Nothobranchius furzeri: one gene and its partner. The protein of the gene in region 1 binds, or shares a complex with, the protein of each later gene. Links are inferred from orthologs where the notes say so. Each region holds a gene or a part of one and is shown on either strand. Other genes may lie near its edges. The genes, in order: ap1g1 and ap1s1.

What was found.
Region 2: the proteins of ap1g1 (region 1) and ap1s1 are in contact, whole or in part, in a crystal structure (PDB 1W63), measured with the Mus musculus proteins. The link is inferred for Nothobranchius furzeri from reciprocal best matches to the Homo sapiens genes AP1G1 and AP1S1. Residues at the interface, in NP_001288140.1 of Mus musculus: Leu7, Arg8, Ile11, Arg12, Arg15, Leu54, Tyr55, His57, Met58, Gly60, Tyr61, Lys78, Phe79, Thr80, Arg83, Ile84, Leu87, Met90, Leu91, Asp94, Glu95, Thr115, Phe117, Leu123, Cys124, Gly127, Cys128, Tyr152, Lys155, Lys156; in NP_031483.1 of Mus musculus: Met1, Leu14, Arg15, Leu16, Gln17, Lys18, Trp19, Leu21, Ala22, Thr23, Asp25, Arg28, Lys29, Arg42, Lys45, Met46, Cys47, Ser48, Phe49, Glu51, Lys56, Gln74, Asp75, Asn76, Glu77, Leu78, Ile79, Leu81, Glu82, Leu83.

What each region holds. Positions count from the first base shown.
Region 1 is NC_091749.1:59,357,688-59,366,100, reverse strand, and holds the end of ap1g1 (AP-1 complex subunit gamma-1), read left to right. Parts: intron 1-2,213; coding exon 2,214-2,318; intron 2,319-2,444; coding exon 2,445-2,586; intron 2,587-2,786; coding exon 2,787-2,913; intron 2,914-3,196; coding exon 3,197-3,301; intron 3,302-3,438; coding exon 3,439-3,599; intron 3,600-5,238; coding exon 5,239-5,337; intron 5,338-5,445; coding exon 5,446-5,547; 3' UTR 5,548-5,776; downstream 5,777-8,413. UniProt on the Homo sapiens protein: Subunit of clathrin-associated adaptor protein complex 1 that plays a role in protein sorting in the late-Golgi/trans-Golgi network (TGN) and/or endosomes.
Region 2 is NC_091743.1:88,613,501-88,623,663, forward strand, and holds the start of ap1s1 (AP-1 complex subunit sigma-1A), read left to right. Parts: upstream 1-3,475; 5' UTR 3,476-3,622; coding exon 3,623-3,625; intron 3,626-10,163. UniProt on the Homo sapiens protein: Subunit of clathrin-associated adaptor protein complex 1 that plays a role in protein sorting in the late-Golgi/trans-Golgi network (TGN) and/or endosomes.

The DNA of each region.
Region 1 (8,413 bases):
CCACGTGACAACAGAACAAATTACAGCAGTTACAGTGCAGAAAGTGCAGCAAAAGAAACATTCATTCAAAAGATGATGAATACATGAAAATTCTCAATTTTGATTCAAATGTTACTAGAGTTGGGGTACATCTGAGGTCATGAGGAATCTGATTCCCTCTGTGTGCAGCATAGTAGCTAAAAGCAGCTTCACCCTGTTTGGTTCTGACCCGGGGTTCTACCAGCTGACCACTTCCTACGGATCTGAGCCCTGCTGGGCATAGATACTGCAAGGAGATGCAACATGTATTTTGGCCCCAGGCTAGGGCTGGGCGATATGACGAATTTAGACCGTTTTACGATCTACACATCTGACGGTCTGTCATTTTTGAGAGACCGTTTTATCACGATTCACAGCTCTGCTGTTGAATTTCTGCCTCTGAATGAAAAGGGAACTTACCCCAGGCGAATGACACGCCTTTGTTTGACCCTTAACCAATCAGAGTGAGTCATAGTAATACATTAGTGCCCCGCTTGTTTTCACTTGTGTGTGAACAAACATGGCTTCGGCCGCGGCTGAGAGCGACATGAGGTTTTCGTTCCGAAGAGGAACGCAGGGTTTCCTTAGCGCACGGCGCTAACAACTTAGTGACGTGACATGTCTCGGAGAAAGCGTAAAAACACGTTGGACGCTTCTTCTGAATCAGGAAAATAACACCGCTTCTTAAGCAGAGCACGACGCCGCCTCGGCTCGTTCACCCTCTGCCGAGCCGGTGTTGGTACTGGACTGAGCTCGGTCGCTGGAGCTGCATCGTGACTGCCTGATGGAAAACCAGCGGGTTTCATCAGACTCGTAGTTTCTTGTTTTTGCTGGGACCCCCTGTATTTTACCGCTCCCTCCTGCAGTCTTCCCCTATTACAATTTAAAATGATTCTGTAAACTCCGTGTATCAATAGAAACGATCTCTTCCTCTGCCAGCTGCAGTAAATGTAGTCTCCAAATAATAAGAGGTGCATTCATCTGTGCATCTCCTTTGATCCACATCAGTGATGTTTTCAGCACCAGAACAGTGAAGCAAAGAAAGATTCCTGAGTTTGTTAGTAATTTTATTTATTAGGTGCATCTAACCTGTTCTATTTTTCTCTGAAATGAGATCAAATCAGTGCTTCTATGGGTTGTCTCCAATGTGCACTGGAAATTTTTACTTTATTTAGAGACTTGTTGCAGAAAATATTCAGAATTCGCAGTTTTTTGCTACCACAAGCGATCTCTGGTCCAGCCGCACATCAGAGCCGTATTTGAGCTTAACTATCCACTACATGAGCAACTGGGAGCTACGTAGTATTTTGAACAAGTTAATGTTTGCACAATACGTTTGCAATTGACATGTTTGCACTTTAAATATGTTTACGATTTTAATTTATGTTAAGTAACTTGAAAAACGAGAAAAACTGATTTTTGTAATTGTTTCTCTCAGGGCTTTTATCATCTCTGGTGTGAGTTTAAAATATAAGTGTGTTAGCACTGTGCTGATTATCCCTAATATGAATAAATGTTTATTTATTCAATGTTTCTCTTCTTTAATACGCAATTGAAGTTATGCTATTCATGGATAAAAAAATCGTGATAAAATCGAAATCGTGATAAAATATTGGAAAAATCGTGATATTCTATTTTTGCCATATCGCCCAGCCCTACGCCAGGCTATTGAGTGCTTTATAAATTAGCAGTAGCAATTTGGAATCTATTCTGCAGTTTACCGATAACCAGTGTAAACATTTAAGAACAGGAGTGATGTGCTTGGTTCTCTTGGTTCTTGTTGAGCCTCTAGCAGCAACATTCTGAATAAGCTGCAGTTGCTTCACAGCTTTTTTTGGGAAGACCAGACGAAGGAGCAATGCAATAGTCCAGCCTGCTGGAGATGAACGCATGAATGAGTTTGTCTAGGTCCTGTCTGGACATGAGACCCCTGTAGGATTATTAGTTTTTTATGCTGAGAAGCTTTACAAAAGAAAAAGTGCTTCAGCTAATTTAGACCTGATGGTTTCACCTATCAGTTATGTTACAAATGAAAGTAGCACGGATTATGTTCACACCTTCATTCTAAATAACATGAGCAACAAACACATGTGGTGTTGAGTTGTTATTGATGTGGACAGTGATCCTGATCCCTCGCTTTCCTCTTTGCTGCCTTCTACTTCATCTTTAGCTCTTTTATCTGTTTTGCTTTCCAGTCGAATCAAGAAAGTGGTTTCGATATATGGCAGCAGCATTGATGTGGAGCTTCAGCAGAGAGCTGTGGAGTACAATGCACTTTTCAAGAAATATGACCACATGAGGTGAAACTTCTCACTTTTAGAAGAAAACAACACTAGCCATCTTTTTGTATCGGCCATTAGCTTTAGGGAAACCAACTTTAACAGTTTGGTTTCGTACGTCCATTCTTGCTTGTCCTCTGATGATAGGTCAGCTCTTCTGGAGCGAATGCCCATCATGGAGAAAACTGCGAGTAATGGCCCTACAGAAATAGTTCAGACAAACGGGGAGACCGATCCTTCTGTGGTGGAAACAAAACATCCTCCTCCAGTAACCCAATCTACAAACCAGGTGAAAACCAATTTTAATGTGTATATATTTCCAAAAATATCTCTATTTTAGTGAAATGAATATACACACAGCAGAGCCTTTATTGTTTAAAGCTGTCATGAACCCAATTAGCGTTTCAGTTCTGAGTTTTTGCAATAAGTGTTTATAATGAATGTTTTAAATTCACATTTTTAATCACTTGATGTGTTCTTGCTCCACAGGCTACCGATTTGCTAGACTTGTTGGGTGGTAATGATATGGTGCCGGTGATCCAGACGTCGGTGCCCACCAAGCCCGCCTCAGCTGGAGGAGAGCTGCTTGATCTTCTGGGTGACCTCTCACTAAGTGGTAGGATGCTCATCTTAAATGATCATGTTCCATCCAGGGTTGTTTCCTTGGTTTAATACGAAGCCCAGTACATTTCACTAATGGTGTTCTGTTTTTCATTAGATGGAAGTTAACCAGTCCCTAAAAGACAGTTTGGATGTTTGGCTTGAATTTGTTTCAGTTTCAGGAACAATTAGAAAAATTTAAATCACTTTTTCAGTAATATTTCCTGTAAATGCTTGAAATGCAAATGTTTGCGTTTGTCCTCCTAAACCCTGGTATGAACCTCCCCCTCCCCTCCCAGGAGGTCCTGCACCTACTCCTGCTCCCTCAGTGCCCACCTCCCAACCCCCTTTTCTGTTGGATGGCCTCTCTTCACAACCCCTGTTTAATGACATTGCAGCTGCAGGTGAGAGGGTGCTGCTCTCAAATAAAGATGCTTATTTAGTGAGGCACCAAGTGGTTTATATTCTTGTACTTTCATAACCTTCCCATTAACAATCTTAACGATCCCGTTTAATCATTTATCCCTCTGAAATGTCTTAGGTATTCCTCCTATGACTGCTTACAACAAGAATGGTCTGAAAATAGACTTTACCTTTGAGAGAGCGAACCCCAACCCAAACATCGCAGTAATCACCATCAATGCATCCAACTCGACAGAAGCAGACATGACCGACTTTGTTTTTCAGGCTGCAGTACCAAAGGTAAGCATGAACAATGCTGCGTTATTATTTAGTTGATTCTCTTTTTATGTTTTGGTACTAATTTAATACAAGTCAGCTCAGGCTAAAGCTTTGCTTATTCTTTATTTGCGTCGATACTGAGATGCCCAACGCCATTATGCTTCGTCACAAGCGTTCTCCAACTCGCTCGCAAGGACAAACGGAGTTGAGCCCACTTTTCTAACCATCTGCTGAAGGTGACAGAGACGTCAAGCCTGTGATTGGTCAGGACGCCGCTCCCTTCATTCGTCTACAGCACCGTCATTCCCTCTCAAAACAATAAAACGAGAGCCGAACATATCTAGCAGCAGACATGGAGCAGATTAAAGAATGTCTCGATACTAACGTTTTCACACCTGTGACTGAGTACAAACTTTTCATTTGTCAGGAAATTACGGGAAATGTTAGTTTAGAGGTGGTGACCGGATGCAGAGGTGGAGGATGAATTTATCCAGGTTTAGAAGTCTGAGATATATAAACACACTAGAGACTGACTGCATTATTGTCAGGATACCCCAGAAAAACGCTACGCCCCCTGCTGTCCTGGCAGAGAATTGCTTCACAACGCTGAAGCCCCCGACTGAGGAGTATAAAAGGAAAACGTCACCATCAGTACGTGTTCATGTGAGCGCTAACTTGCTGACAGGAGAAGTATAAATCAGGCTTAATGGATAATATTTTTACCTGATATCACTCAGAATCTGTGCTTAATGCGTTAGCTGTTATAGTAGGCAGAAAAAAATATTTTATTAGTAATTTTTTGTTTGAAAATGCGGTCATATAAGAATGTAATACCAGTTTAGATTAAACAAAATGACAAAATATTTTTTGGTCCCAAAAATGAAAAAAAAAAAAAAATGTAACATGAAGTTTTGGTCTGTTGATGAGCTTTTAAAGATTTATAAAAGACGGTAGAATTTAACTAAGTCAGAATTTGGTTCAGAGTTTTTTTATTTCTAATTTTGTGAGGCTTTTATCAAACGGTGTAATCTAACTAGGTCTAAACTCAAATTACACACATTCCTAGTTTGTATCCTGTTTGTTGTGTTGATCGTTAAACAAAAAACACCCACATCACACGGCCTTCCCACAGGAGTTCCCCACGGTTCAGTGCTTGGACACTTGTCCTTTGTACTTTCTCTTTGGCTCTTGTCACCTGCGTTGTTTTTTTATCGCTGACATCCAAATGATTCCTAGTCGTCCTTCTTGCAAGAAGACCCCATTAGTGTAGCTAAAAACTGTTTTTCTCTCAAATCTAAACTGATGAAGAAAGACCCCTTTAAACTTAATGTGGCCAAGATTTCTGTTAGCTAGTCAGTCCATCCATTACCACATGAGCAGAGAAATTTCCTCGACTGTCTCCCCAACAAAATTATAAAGGAACCATGATTGATGATCACTCGCCCTCCGAGTTGCAACAGACTCTTGGTTGTTTCTTATTGCAAACTATGTTAGAATAGTTCATCAGACAGATGCTACCAAACTAACCTCGACTGTATCAATGTTCCTCTGGTAGGACTTCCATCATGCTTGGTGAAAGCTCTCCAGATTGTCCAGAATGCCGTAGACATGAGTTGCTTTTCCATTTGTTATTAATCATTATTCTCTCTCTGTTTATCAGACATTCCAGCTGCAGCTTCTCTCCCCCAGCAGCAACGTCGTCCCAGCTCTCAACCAGGGAACTGTCACGCAAGTCATCAGAGTCCTCAACCCACAGAAAGTAAGTTTACAAACTAGTAAACTGAGTTTTTGCCTGTTTGAAGCCCCATTTGTTCACATTTCAAACTTGTTTATTTATTAAACTCAATCGTGCTCGTAAACCTTTCAGCAACAGCTACGAATGAGGATCAAACTGACCTACACGCACAGAGCCTCATCTATCCAAGACCTGGCTGAGGTTAACAACTTCCCTCCACAGTCGTGGCAGTGATGATCAGCGCCCGTTGCTCTTAAGCCCCGTCAAGGGAACTATGAAAATGGATTTTTCCTTTCAACCTCCCACCTTTCTTCCAATGGACACCCCCCACCCCCCTTCCGTGAAGTCATTGCAGACAGCTACCCTCAAGTTGCATGGGAAGCAGCAGAGCGTTGATCACGGGAGAATAACAAAGATGTTACCAAGACCCTGTTGATATTACAAGAATAATTTGGAAAACATATCAATCACTGAACTTTCTTTTTCCTCCTAACTGGTTTCCATAAACTCTTCACTTAATGAGTTGTATTTCCTCTCAGCACCATTACTACACACAGCAGGACACATGCACACCATTCACTGTGGCACACTTTACCTCTGGAGGAAGTGTTGCTTCCTACGGGCACAGCAGGAACCTTTCTTTTTAAATTCCCTTCTTATATGATTGGCTTTGTTTTCATATGTTTTTTAAAAAAACAAACCATCTTACAGGAGAAACCATGAAACATTGAGCATCACTTTGGCCAGTCACATCTGGATTTGAGCTCGAAGATGATTTTTTTTTTTTTTTTTTTTTTTTTATTCTGGTGTTATAAGAGCTGGTTCTTTCTGATAAGAACATCAGAAAACGCGCTCAATTGGGTTTCTTGTGGCCAATTCTGGGAAAAACACTCCGATTTTTCCCTCATTTGTTGTTTCATCTGTAGGGACGCAGCAATTTGTAGATCTGTATATTAAATTTAACATCTCTGAATAGTTTCATTCAGAATTAATACAGCTCTTCAACTTATCAGCATTTGTCTTAAAAGCTCTGCTTTTTAAACTTTTCCTGCATCTGCCTCTTGGTTTACTCCACTTTCAGGTTAGTTTAACCCGGTCGGTTGAATCCCACACACAGTCACGTGTAAATTAAGCTCTATATGAATGTAGTTAACATGCACTGAATGCTCCTTGATTAGTTTCCCCCCTCACGCTCATCCTAGCGGCACTGTTTTTGTGAACATTTGTTTTGTTTCTGCAGTTCTTAATTTATGCCTGATATCTAAGTGATGTGCCTTTCTGACTCGGCTAAATCAAAGCCCCTGAGCTTTTTGAGTTCTGTACGAGCGTCGTCGTATGATTGTGTGATGATCGAACCGAACTGGCGAATCGCATCATATACATTTTACTTGTATCTAATATTGGCCCACATGCTCAGAGTCCCACTTATATCAGTCCAATTTTTTCTTAATTTTCTTTTTTGTCAAATAAAAATATATATTTAAAAAAAAAGAGCTGAATGACTATAAAATTTAAAAAACTGGAAATTTAAAATAATGGCAGCTAATAGATGAAAAGTTTCATTATTTGGCTTCAGAGTTTTTCTGAGATAAAAAAAATCAAGAATATCATATCAGTCCAATCTTTAACCCAAAACATAAGCAGGAGAAGCTGGATTTTGGAATAGGTACTCGTCTTTAAATCAGATTCATGACCACGCTGTCATCTGGGATGGATAGAAACCTTAATACCTCACAATATTTCTTCTTTCTCTTAACTTTTTAGCGGTGGTAAATGAAATTTTGTTCAGTCGTGAGTTTCAGTTAAACGAAGCGTCTGCATGAGGAAGACTAGACGCTAACAGTGGTTTTCACATCTCGTTCCTGGTGCAGCCTGGCCATGCTGTGTATCACTCTTGTCACTATGCTTCACTATCTTTTAACTTTTGTGACCAAATCAGAGATACTATTAGCTTTGGAAATATTTTTGAGCTATATGTGTATATGGAGAAATCTTTAGGCTGAACTTTTTGTTTCCTGTTCTTGAGAAAATGCTATATTGGCTTTGTTTTTTCTGTACATATTGAGGGCTTTTACAATTTTGTCTAATGTACTATCTTTCATCCTTTTTTTAGATACCATTTTCTAAACGAAACGAGATAAAATTCAAATATTCACAATGTATATTGTCTAAATAGGTTTAGCTGGCATCAGTCTGAGGAGATTTTCCTGTCACCGCTCACTTATTGTAAACGAGTTCTGATCTGCTGCCTGTACATTGTATATAGTTGTAAAACACTGATCAAATTAAATAAAATCCACGTAAAAGATTAGCTTAAAAGTATAATTGTATGCATATATGTACAAAATTAACCTGAAATGATGCAATTGAGCTGCGTATAATTTACGATACTTTTATCTCAGCGATTGGATGCGTTATCTTCTACGAAGTGAGTCGGAAGGCAACACGGTGTGTTTCTATAAGAGCTGAATCTGAACAGCTGTACTACTGAGGAGAGTGAGCACAAGTGGCACTTTGCTTTGTCTGCTTCCCTGCCCCTCACACACCTCATAGATCCTCGTTTGTGTCCGTACCCTCTTGAGGGGGAGCAGCTCTTTTGCCAAGAAGCGTCTCTTCCATTTGGCCTTACATGCGCTCTTGACATTTTCTCTTCATCCTGCAAACTGTTGTGTGATGTGCTGCCCTTTGGTTTTGGTGTTTTCTTTTTGCTTTCCCTGCTTCCTGTGTTTTCTGCATCTTCCAAGCAAGCAAATCAAGGACACTAGAAAAAAAAGATTTTAAATTGCCGTCATGATTAGTAGGTTTAAGTTGCTGTCATTTTGTCTTCATGGCACATTTTTTTTGTTTGTAATATGTAAAAATCCTGATTTAAAAGGTTAAATAAGATCACTCACTAGTTGAATCGATGAAAGACAGACGAGGCGATTAGGATGTAAATTTTTTTTATAGCTTGATTTAATTCCATTTTTTCTTCATCAAAACAAACCAGGAAAAGCTTGTTAATGCTCACAAGGGGGAGAAAGGAACTTTAAAACATCTATTCCTTAGTGTTTGTCATTTGTATCGTCTTATTCCACCTCTATGTACCCTTTTTAATCTA
Region 2 (10,163 bases), on another chromosome or scaffold:
AACGTGTCCTGGGTCGACCCGGGGGCCTCCTGCTGGCAGGACATGCCCGAAACACCTCCCCGGGGAGGCGTCCAGGAGGCATCCTGACCAGATGCCCAAACCACCTCAACTGACTCCTTTCGATCCGGAGGAGCAGCGGTTCTACTCCGAGTCCCTCCCGAATGTCCGAGCTCCTCACCCTATCTCTAAGGCTGAGCCCGGCCACCCTACAGAGGAAACTAATTTCGGCCGCTTGTATCCGCGATCTCGTTCTTTCGGTCATTACCCAAAGCTTATGACCATAGGTGAGGATTGGGACGTAGATCGACCGGTAAAGCGAGAGCCTGGCTTTCTGGCTCAGCTCCCTCTTCACCACGACAGATCAGCTCAGCGTCCGCATCACTGCAGACGCCGAACCAATCCGCCTGTCGATCTCCCGATCCCTCCTACCCTCACTCGTGAACAAGACCCTGAGATACTTAAACTCCTCCACTTGAGGTAGGACCTCTCTCCCGACCCGGAGTTGGCAAGCCACCCTTTTCCGGTCGAGAACCATGGTCTCACCTTGGAGGTGCTGATCCTCATCCCAGCCGCTTCACACTTGGCCGCGAACCTACCCACAGTCCAAAAACATGACTGTTAGGGTGATTGGTATGTCTAAATTGTCCTTAGGTGTGAGTGTGTGTGTGTGAGTGTCCTGTGTGTCTCTGTGTTGCCCTGCGATGGACTGGCTCTCTGTCCAGGGTGTACCCTGCCTGATTGCCCATTGACCGCTGGAGATAGGCACCAGCCCCGCCACCCCCCCCCCCCCCCCCGATAATATAATATAACATATCATAAGATAATATAATATCTTATAGTATGATATGATATGATATGATATGATATGATATGATATGATAGGCCCTTCGTTAGCTTCATTGAAGTCTATTCCTAAAGTCCACTACGAATTCTATGCATTTGATTGTTGATCCTATTACTTAGAATGTTTGCTGTGGTACTTCTTATTTTCACGCTCCATTTTTCCCTGCTGAGCTAAGCCGAAAGGCAAAGCTCTCCATTCACCGGTCGATCTACGTTCCTACCCTCACCTATGGTCACAAGCTTTGGGTAGTGACCGAAAGAACGAGATCACAAACACAAGCAGCCAAAAATGAGTTTTCTCCGCTAGGAGTCTGGGCTCTCCCTCAGACCTAGGGCGAGAAGCTCAGTCATCCAGGAGGGTCCTGGAATAGATTTGTTGCTCCTCTAATCTGGTTAGGATGCCTCCTGGACGCCAGCCTGACCTGCCAGAGTCCTCCTCTGTTTAATTCTGCACAGTCTGGGAACTATCCTATATAAACAGCCCCGCCCCCTGAGAATTCTAACCGAGCCAATCAGCGCTGAGTAGCGTACGTCACACACCATAACGCCGAGTTTGTCATAAACATGGCGACTGAAGCAGAGTTCTCTGCAGCTGTTTCCTCTGTTCTAAATGACTTGGACACGTCTTTAAAACCACAACAAGTAGAAGCGCTAAAAGCCTTTCTTCTAAAGAAAGATATTTGCGCTGTGCAGAATTAAACAGGAAGAAGTCTGGCAGGGCAGGCTACCTGCCTCCCTGCTGAGGTGTTCCAGGAACGTCAGACTGAGAGGAGATCCAAAAGAAGACCCAGGACACGCTGAGGGGACTGTCTCTTGGCTGGCCAGGGAACGCCTTGGGCTTCACTCGGAGGAGCTGGCCCAACCGGCTGGGAAGAGGGAAGTCTGGGCCTCTTGGCTACGGCTGCTGCCCCCGAGACCCGACCCTGAATAAGCAGCTGAAAACGGATGGTTGGATGGACTCCATATTTTATTTCAATCCTTCTTTTGAATTATTGCCGTACTGTTTTTATGTTCAGCACTTTAGTCAGCTGTTGCGTAGTTTTTAAATGTGCTATTTAAAAAAAAAAACGTGGTATGGTCTTTCAGATTATTAATTTCTTTTTAAAAGAGTACCTCATATCACTGAAGGGTCTGAAATCCAGCAAAGGTGGAAGGGTCAGCATGACAAAAGATGGTTTAATCTAATTAGACCCATAAACCAGAACCAATCAGACATTCTTTTATGTATGCTAATAATTCAGTATTCATGGAAGTCCCATGATTTTATTGGTTATTTAAAAAGGAGTCTGTTTCAGTGTATAAATGATCGCCCACACACTGGCTGGTGTAAAATCCCCTGCTTCTGGTAGTAAGTTGATGAAGAGCCCCACTCTGTGGTCATATCTCTTCACTGTTTTCATGGGACTTTGTTTTTTCTCCCAGGTGGGAGTTTTAAGACATCGGTCGACGGTTCTCAGTAAGGACAGTTTAGATAGGGGGAACAGGATTACAGGTACAGAAAACACACCGCAGGAAAATTCATGAACACTATAAATTCATGTCAGTGAATGTGAATGGTCAAAGCAGTCCTATAAAAAAGTAAGATGATAGCTTTTTTTTGTTCAATTTGTTTTTTCAACATTTAGCTCAGATTTTCTAACAAGAAGAGCTGAAAAGTATAACCACAAATGGCACAAAACCAGCCTATACGTACGCCAATGACATATTGGTAAAACTCCCAAATCCAGGCTCTAGCATACCTTTGTTCATGCCCTCAGAGAGGAAGGAGGTATCACACCCGTTTTATTTAATTTTATTCACACCCAAAATGTAATCATCCAGTATTTGTGAGTTCTCATACCAAAGTCCTCTCCCACCGTTTTGATAATAAGTAGCTACAAAAGAATCACAAAGGAAATCATCAGGACAATGTGGTACAGCCAGAGGTGGAAAGAGTACTAAAATTTCCTACACAAGTATGAGTACCAATACTTTGATTATTTTTACTCAAGTACAAGTAAAAGTATTTAAACATTAGACAATAATTTTATAAGCAATAAACAGTAAAAAGGAGAAAAAAGAAACACAAATGAAGGAAAAAAGTCTTAGCCCAAAGGGAGTGGGAAGAAGCGAGTGTTTACTCAGTCCCACCCCCTCGCCACACACTAAAACAAACCATGTACATATTTAATACACATTTCAGGATCGTTACATAAATGATCCGCACTTATATAGCGCCCCTCAGAGTAAGGACTCCAAAGCGCTTTACACTACAGTGAATCAATCATTCATCCATTCACACACACACACACACATTCATACACTGGTGGGGATGAGCTACGATGTAGCCACAGCTGCCCTGGGGCGCACTGACAGAGGCGACATACATATCATTACAATAATAAATATACAAATAAGAACATATATGAATGTTTTCTCTCACTGTGTGTGTGTGTGTGTGTGTGTGTGTGTGTGTGTGTGTGTGTGTGTGTGTGTGTGTGTGTGTGTGTGTGTGTGTGTTTCGTGCATGCAATTTCTTTCAGCTTTTTTGTACTGTTATATACCCTCCTCTATGATAATTCATTTGTTTGACAATAAAAGAGGCCTCGAATGTGTAATAGTGCAAAAAGCGGAGTCTGAAGTGCGCATGCTCAGTGGAGGCGGAAGTGCTCGGTACGGTGGTACCTCTCGTTCGGCTGTGTCCTGTTAGACACGGAGATGGACTTTTATCGTTAATTATCGTCTGAGCTACTAACTTCAGGCTGCACAGGGTGTCTGTGACGTTGGGGGCACGTTCAGAATGGTGAGTTGATGCGTCTCAATCGGTGGAAAGTGCCGGGTGCTAACTTGTGCTAATGCCGATAAGGTGTCAGCAATTCAGGAAGTGCCCACCTGCGCTCCGCTCACCTGGCGAACGGGCCTGGAGAGGGGAGACGACCCGGATCATGGTGCCGTTCTTACTGTGGGCTAAGTCGCTGTTGCTTGGTTGAGGTGTTTTAAGACCCGCTCCCTTCCTCAGCTTCAGTTCCAGGATTCGATTCAGCTCAATGCGTTTATTTAGTTACACGACACCAGCACACAAGATCCAACCCGTTCCCGTTCATGTTCGGGTCGATGGCACTTCCAGTCAGTGAGTTCCGTTCACTTCTCGCTAAAGCCGATTCATTCTAAAAGGCCGAATGTTCTCGGATGGAGTATTCATTCTTCACTTAAGCCGTTTGGGTTTTCAGACCCATCTTGCCAAAACTGACATAGAATAGAAAAATAAAAGGCGGGAATAAATTATAAATAAATGACAAAATGCAGAAAAAATAGCTATTTTAAATAGTTGGTAAGAAATATGTTTATTTCCACATTTATGTATCGGTCCTTGTCAGGTGACATATGGGGTGCTGTAGCGCGTTGCATGATGGAATAGCTAGGTGTCTGAACAAAGGAAGCTTTGTGAGCTAAACCCGGTACACCTGTTGTGTGAAAGGCGGCCATGCCACCTTCACAAGAAGGCAAAAAATAAAATGTAGGCTGGAGTCGTGTTAACTGGATATTTTCTGTATTTAACCGTTCAGTTTTTGACAGAAATCTCAAGGCTGTTGGTCATTCTGACAGACAGGAATTACTCTGACGCGTGCAGTTGTGCAGACATTTTAAACGTTCTGCACGGAGAACATCGCAGAGGTAACGAGATCCATCAGACGATTCCCATCAGAACATCTGAGCATTATTTGTCAGCTGCAGCTTACCCTAGCAATGCCAGTCATACACCTAAAATGGCGCTAAAGAGGTGTGGTTGACATGCAGGTCACGTGTCTGACAAGGACCGATTAATGCATTCAGTTATAAATACTGTCCTAAAGCATGATTGGTCAACCAATCATCTTCCAAGAAATTCACACAACCCTCCATTCTCTGCCCTCTGAACGATGTGTTGTTAGTGCTCTTTAATGCGGACTTATTAGGGATGCATGTTTACCAACATTTCTTTAAAAGGCTATTGATGCCCCTTAATGGTTAATAGCCGGTTAACTAGAAACCAACCAATGGTGGTGCTGATTACTGGTGGAACACCGGTGTTTCGACTCTCTGTGCTGCTCGTCGAAATGTGCTACTTTGGGGAAATACGCATGAGCAGATGGATTACTTCATCACAGGTTTACCTGAAACGCGCTACTATGACTGGGCGATATGGCCTAAAATCAACATTGTTATGTGCCCGTCCCATTTATCGGTTCCTTTAAAACCCAGTTCCGTTAGAACTTATGAGACGGAGCATCCATCAGGGTTCGATGGGGATGTCGGTGAGTATTATGGTATTAGATCCTGGTTTGGGCGTCCTAAGTTAGAATCATATCTTTTATTTTAAAGGTGAAATAATATGTAAGACCTTTCCTTCTGTAGTAGCTCACTTCTTTTTAAGCAATCCCGTTATCTTAAGGTTTCTTTATATCAATCTGTCACAAACCGTAAAGTAAGTCCTGATAATTCCAGAACCCATAATTAATGTGCTTACCTCTGTGCAATTAATGATCAGGGCTTCCACTCATGAAGCTTTAGAGAAAACCTGAAAGAATCAGGATTATGTTTCTTTTTCAAAAAAGGTTTATTACAAAATCAAAATACAAAAATGGGTAAATAAAAAACAACTGCTATCCCCCAAGGAGGAATTAGTTCAAAATGATTAAAAAAGAGTTAGTTTACACTAGCTCCTGTCTTCTCAGAATGAAAACTCCCAAGTTACCTCTTCCAAAAAAGTCTGTCATCCCCCATCCAGGTTTGGACGGGGGATGACCCCTCCAAATCTGCTCTGTCTCTTCTTGTCCTCTGCCCCAGCTGCTGTCCGCTCTCAATCTATATATCTCTGCTGTTCAGAGCTGTTCTTATATACCCTTCCTGGGCCAGCTTTAGGTCATGGGGTCATTTACCAGATACACACTTTGTAGCTCAACACAAAACATTTGGTGTCATTACATGCAGCATTCTTCTTAACACAGGTCATTACATCATCTTTTGCAGCATTCTTCAGTTTCTCTCCAATGTTCCCGAGAGGGCTTCTGGATCTGATGGGCTTGTCTTCACTCTGTTCTCCTCCAATCCCATCTTTCCAAGCCAGGGGTGGGGCAAAGAGGTTGGGTCAGTCAACCTGACCTTTCGCCCAGTTCTGTCCTCGTCCCTGTGACCCTTGTGTGACCCTTGTTTCTGACCACAGTTTTTTGACCTGCAGCCCAACTCATGTCGGCTGGCTGATTTTGCTCGCACAAGCCAGTCCAGTGTGTTTCAGCTTGCCACTGTCTTTGGCATGTGGGGACTCGCAACATCCCCCATGCGAGAAAAATCTAGCCAGGGGACTGCAGCAGCCTTCTTTGAGGTGGGGCTGCCTCCTCCTCTGGATCATCTTCATCTCCAGTCTCAGAGCCAGAGTCTGACTAGCTCAGAGTCCAGATACACACCATCATCATCATCATCATCACTCACTTCAGTCTCAGAAGAACCAGAGGGTTCAGATCTGGGTTCCTGCTTCACCACCAGTTTCAGCTGCCATCTGGTCAGCTGAGCTGCTGGTTGGAACATCTCAGTCTCCACCTTCAAGCAGAGACTCTCTCCCTCCAGACTGAAGACATTTTTTACTGCAGAGCTTCAAATATTCTCCTCACACACCTGAACAGCAACAAGCTAACTCTGCTTGCAGCTGCTGGTGGGAAGCTTACGCTAAAAACTATAAAGTGTGGCAAGGTGGACAAATGAGGGCCCGGGCGGGATTCGATCCCGGGACCTTCGGGGTGTGAGTCATACGCTCTAACCACTCAGCCAAAGGGACATCCCCTTATCCAACTGGCCAGGGCGCATGATCAATCAAGACATTGTGACAGAACGCTCACACTGTCACACCTTCCCCCCTCTTTCCACAAGCGCGTCCTCGTACTCCCGCGCAGGGTGCCACAAACTTCACATCCACGGACCTACTTGACAGTACTACATGGATCCTGCCAACAACACCAAATGTGGCAAGGTTAAAAATGCTTACGCCTTATTAGTGTAGCTGTGTGTCAGGTCAGAATCATACGGAGCTGTTAGTTCAGGACTCTCCCTTCTCAACAGAACTAGTAGGGGGAGGGGTGATGTCACCACATCCTGCACATTCCGCTTGTCACTTGTTGCTCAGCTGACTGGGTGCTTTTTCTTTGTTCAGCTGCGGCTTCTCATATCTGCAGGCTGCCGAGAGCGGAAGCTAGGTGCTTGTCTCAAGCAGATCCTCTAAAAACAAAGTTTAATTGGAGCAGAGTTCCAATGCTCCCAGTTATAAGTCCGTCCTTTACAGGCGGCACGGTTTCTCTCCTCACGCAGCCCTTAAGCACAGAGGTTCACACATTATACATGTTCCCGGCTTCTAGCCTCCATTGCGCGTGACGATGCCCGACATGAGATTCTGTGAAGCTAGGAAACATGATTACTTTACAGTTCGTGACAAATACCTCCCCGTGTTACCAGAAACGAGGCCCAAGTCACACAGATTCTTACATATCAGTCCTTCACTAGATTTTGATCCAGCCATGACGTTTAATCGCATCTCACTTGTGCCTCAGCACCCGGACAGCGCCCCGCCGCAGCTCCATACTAGCTTTTCCAGCCTCATTCTAAAGCTCCGGTTACAGGATACTGAAAGATCTATCTGCCATAGCTGGTTAAAAGTTTTTCTTATTTTTATTTATTTTATTTTTTGCCTAGCTTTTATCCTTGGCTTTTCTTGCGTCGGAATGCCGTGATTTCTTTATACCTTTTTAAGTTGATCGTCCGTTCTCCCAGTTTCTTTCCTTTTCGAGAAATTGGTGCGGTTCTCACTCCAAGGTTATAAAATTATCCGGTCCATAGCGCGTAAGCTTTTATCAGCCTAAAAGACAGTTCTACGTCGGATAGCCCGGTATCTAATATTTAGACCTTCACTCCGTAGCCCCACGTTTGGCGCGCCATGTTATGTGCCCGTCCCATTTATCGGTTCCTTTAAAACCCAGTTCCGTTAGAACTTATGAGACGGAGCATCCATCAGGGTTCGATGGGGATGTCGGTGAGTATTATGGTATTAGATCCTGGTTTGGGCGTCCTAAGTTAGAATCATATCTTTTATTTTAAAGGTGAAATAATATGTAAGACCTTTCCTTCTGTAGTAGCTCACTTCTTTTTAAGCAATCCCGTTATCTTAAGGTTTCTTTATATCAATCTGTCACAAACCGTAAAGTAAGTCCTGATAATTCCAGAACCCATAATTAATGTGCTTACCTCTGTGCAATTAATGATCAGGGCTTCCACTCATGAAGCTTTAGAGAAAACCTGAAAGAATCAGGATTATGTTTCTTTTTCAAAAAAGGTTTATTACAAAATCAAAATACAAAAATGGGTAAATAAAAAACAACTGCTATCCCCCAAGGAGGAATTAGTTCAAAATGATTAAAAAAGAGTTAGTTTACACTAGCTCCTGTCTTCTCAGAATGAAAACTCCCAAGTTACCTCTTCCAAAAAAGTCTGTCATCCCCCATCCAGGTTTGGACGGGGGATGACCCCTCCAAATCTGCTCTGTCTCTTCTTGTCCTCTGCCCCAGCTGCTGTCCGCTCTCAATCTATATATCTCTGCTGTTCAGAGCTGTTCTTATATACCCTTCCTGGGCCAGCTTTAGGTCATGGGGTCATTTACCAGATACACACTTTGTAGCTCAACACAAAACATTTGGTGTCATTACATGCAGCATTCTTCTTAACACAGGTCATTACATCATCTTTTGCAGCATTCTTCAGTTTCTCTCCAATGTTCCCGAGAGGGCTTCTGGATCTGATGGGCTTGTCTTCACTCTGTTCTCCTCCAATCCCATCTTTCCAAGCCAGGGGTGGGGCAAAGAGGTTGGGTCAGTCAACCTGACCTTTCGCCCAGTTCTGTCCTCGTCCCTGTGACCCTTGTGTGACCCTTGTTTCTGACCACAGTTTTTTGACCTGCAGCCCAACTCATGTCGGCTGGCTGATTTTGCTCGCACAAGCCAGTCCAGTGTGTTTCAGCTTGCCACTGTCTTTGGCATGTGGGGACTCGCAACAACATCACGATATTTTGAGGATTTCACCTCGATAACAATAAACGGACGATAACTACATGTAAGCGCAGAATGCATTCCTTCGTGGGGGTTTGTTGCCGCTCAAGGCTACCAGGGCGTCAGATTCAGATAACAAGACTTTGTTTGGGTCAGGCTGAGATAATTTTCCTCTCTGCCTTCAGTCTTTAAACTGATCATTCCAGTCCTTCAGTGAAGCCAATTTTGGGTTTTTAAACCTGTCCATACCGTCCGGTGACTCCCTCCGAGATGACATCCATTTTGCGCACTAATACCGGTAGCGTAGCTAGAACATTGTCCAGCTTACGATTCACCTCGAGTAACGTCCCAGTCTGAGAAGTCTCCATACGGACGGTGCTTTCCGTGGGTGCGGGTCGCCCTCCAATCGCTCCCGTCTTCCCAAATTTCCAGGAAACCAGATATCCTCCAACTCCAATCAGGAGAAATCCAGTGACCATCAGGTCGAATATCCACACGTCTTCGATGTCCTCCATGGACAGCTGGCTGAGGCATACGATCTTCCACTCCTTCCAGGAATCCAGCGTATATCCCACCGGGTGTGTCCCCTGTGGACATGTGGGAGCCCCCTGCCCCGTTCTCATTGTTGAAAAAATCTTATCGATCACATTGAATGACCAATTCATCAACTCCATGGTTAGTAAAAAATAGGGTTTTTCAGAAGAAATGCAGAGAAGCGCTCTGGGCAGACAGGACAAAGAGCCTTGGGAAAAACAGGATAAGGGAGCGACAAGAGAGAAACGTCTGTACTCCTCGAGTGTCAGGAAGAAGGATTTCACCTCACAAGGATTTCATTTTTGCTAGTAATTATACTACAGTTCTGTATGTTTGCATAATATTAACTATTTAAAATAAACCATGCTTAATAAATGTGTTATACTGTAAACAAGAGCAAAACTGTTATAACAAACTGGAATATTTGACAAAGAAGCACACAGTCAGAACACCGGCTCTACTCCAACCCCTCACCAATATCCAAGCTCTTCACTTAACAACCTGCCTATAAGGATGGGTGGGCATGGCCAGCAGCAGCTTATTCATGTATTTTAAAATGTCAGCTCATTCTGAAAAGTACTGATGTCAAATATAGAGCTGCATAGGTTGCTTTAGGTGAGAGGAATTTTGTCCAAGAACTTCATGACCATGTTTTGTATCGACCAAAACAAATCTCCACACTCTGTTTTAATTTTATGACCTGAGATCTTCAGCCACAAAGGAACAGCGTGAAAACACATG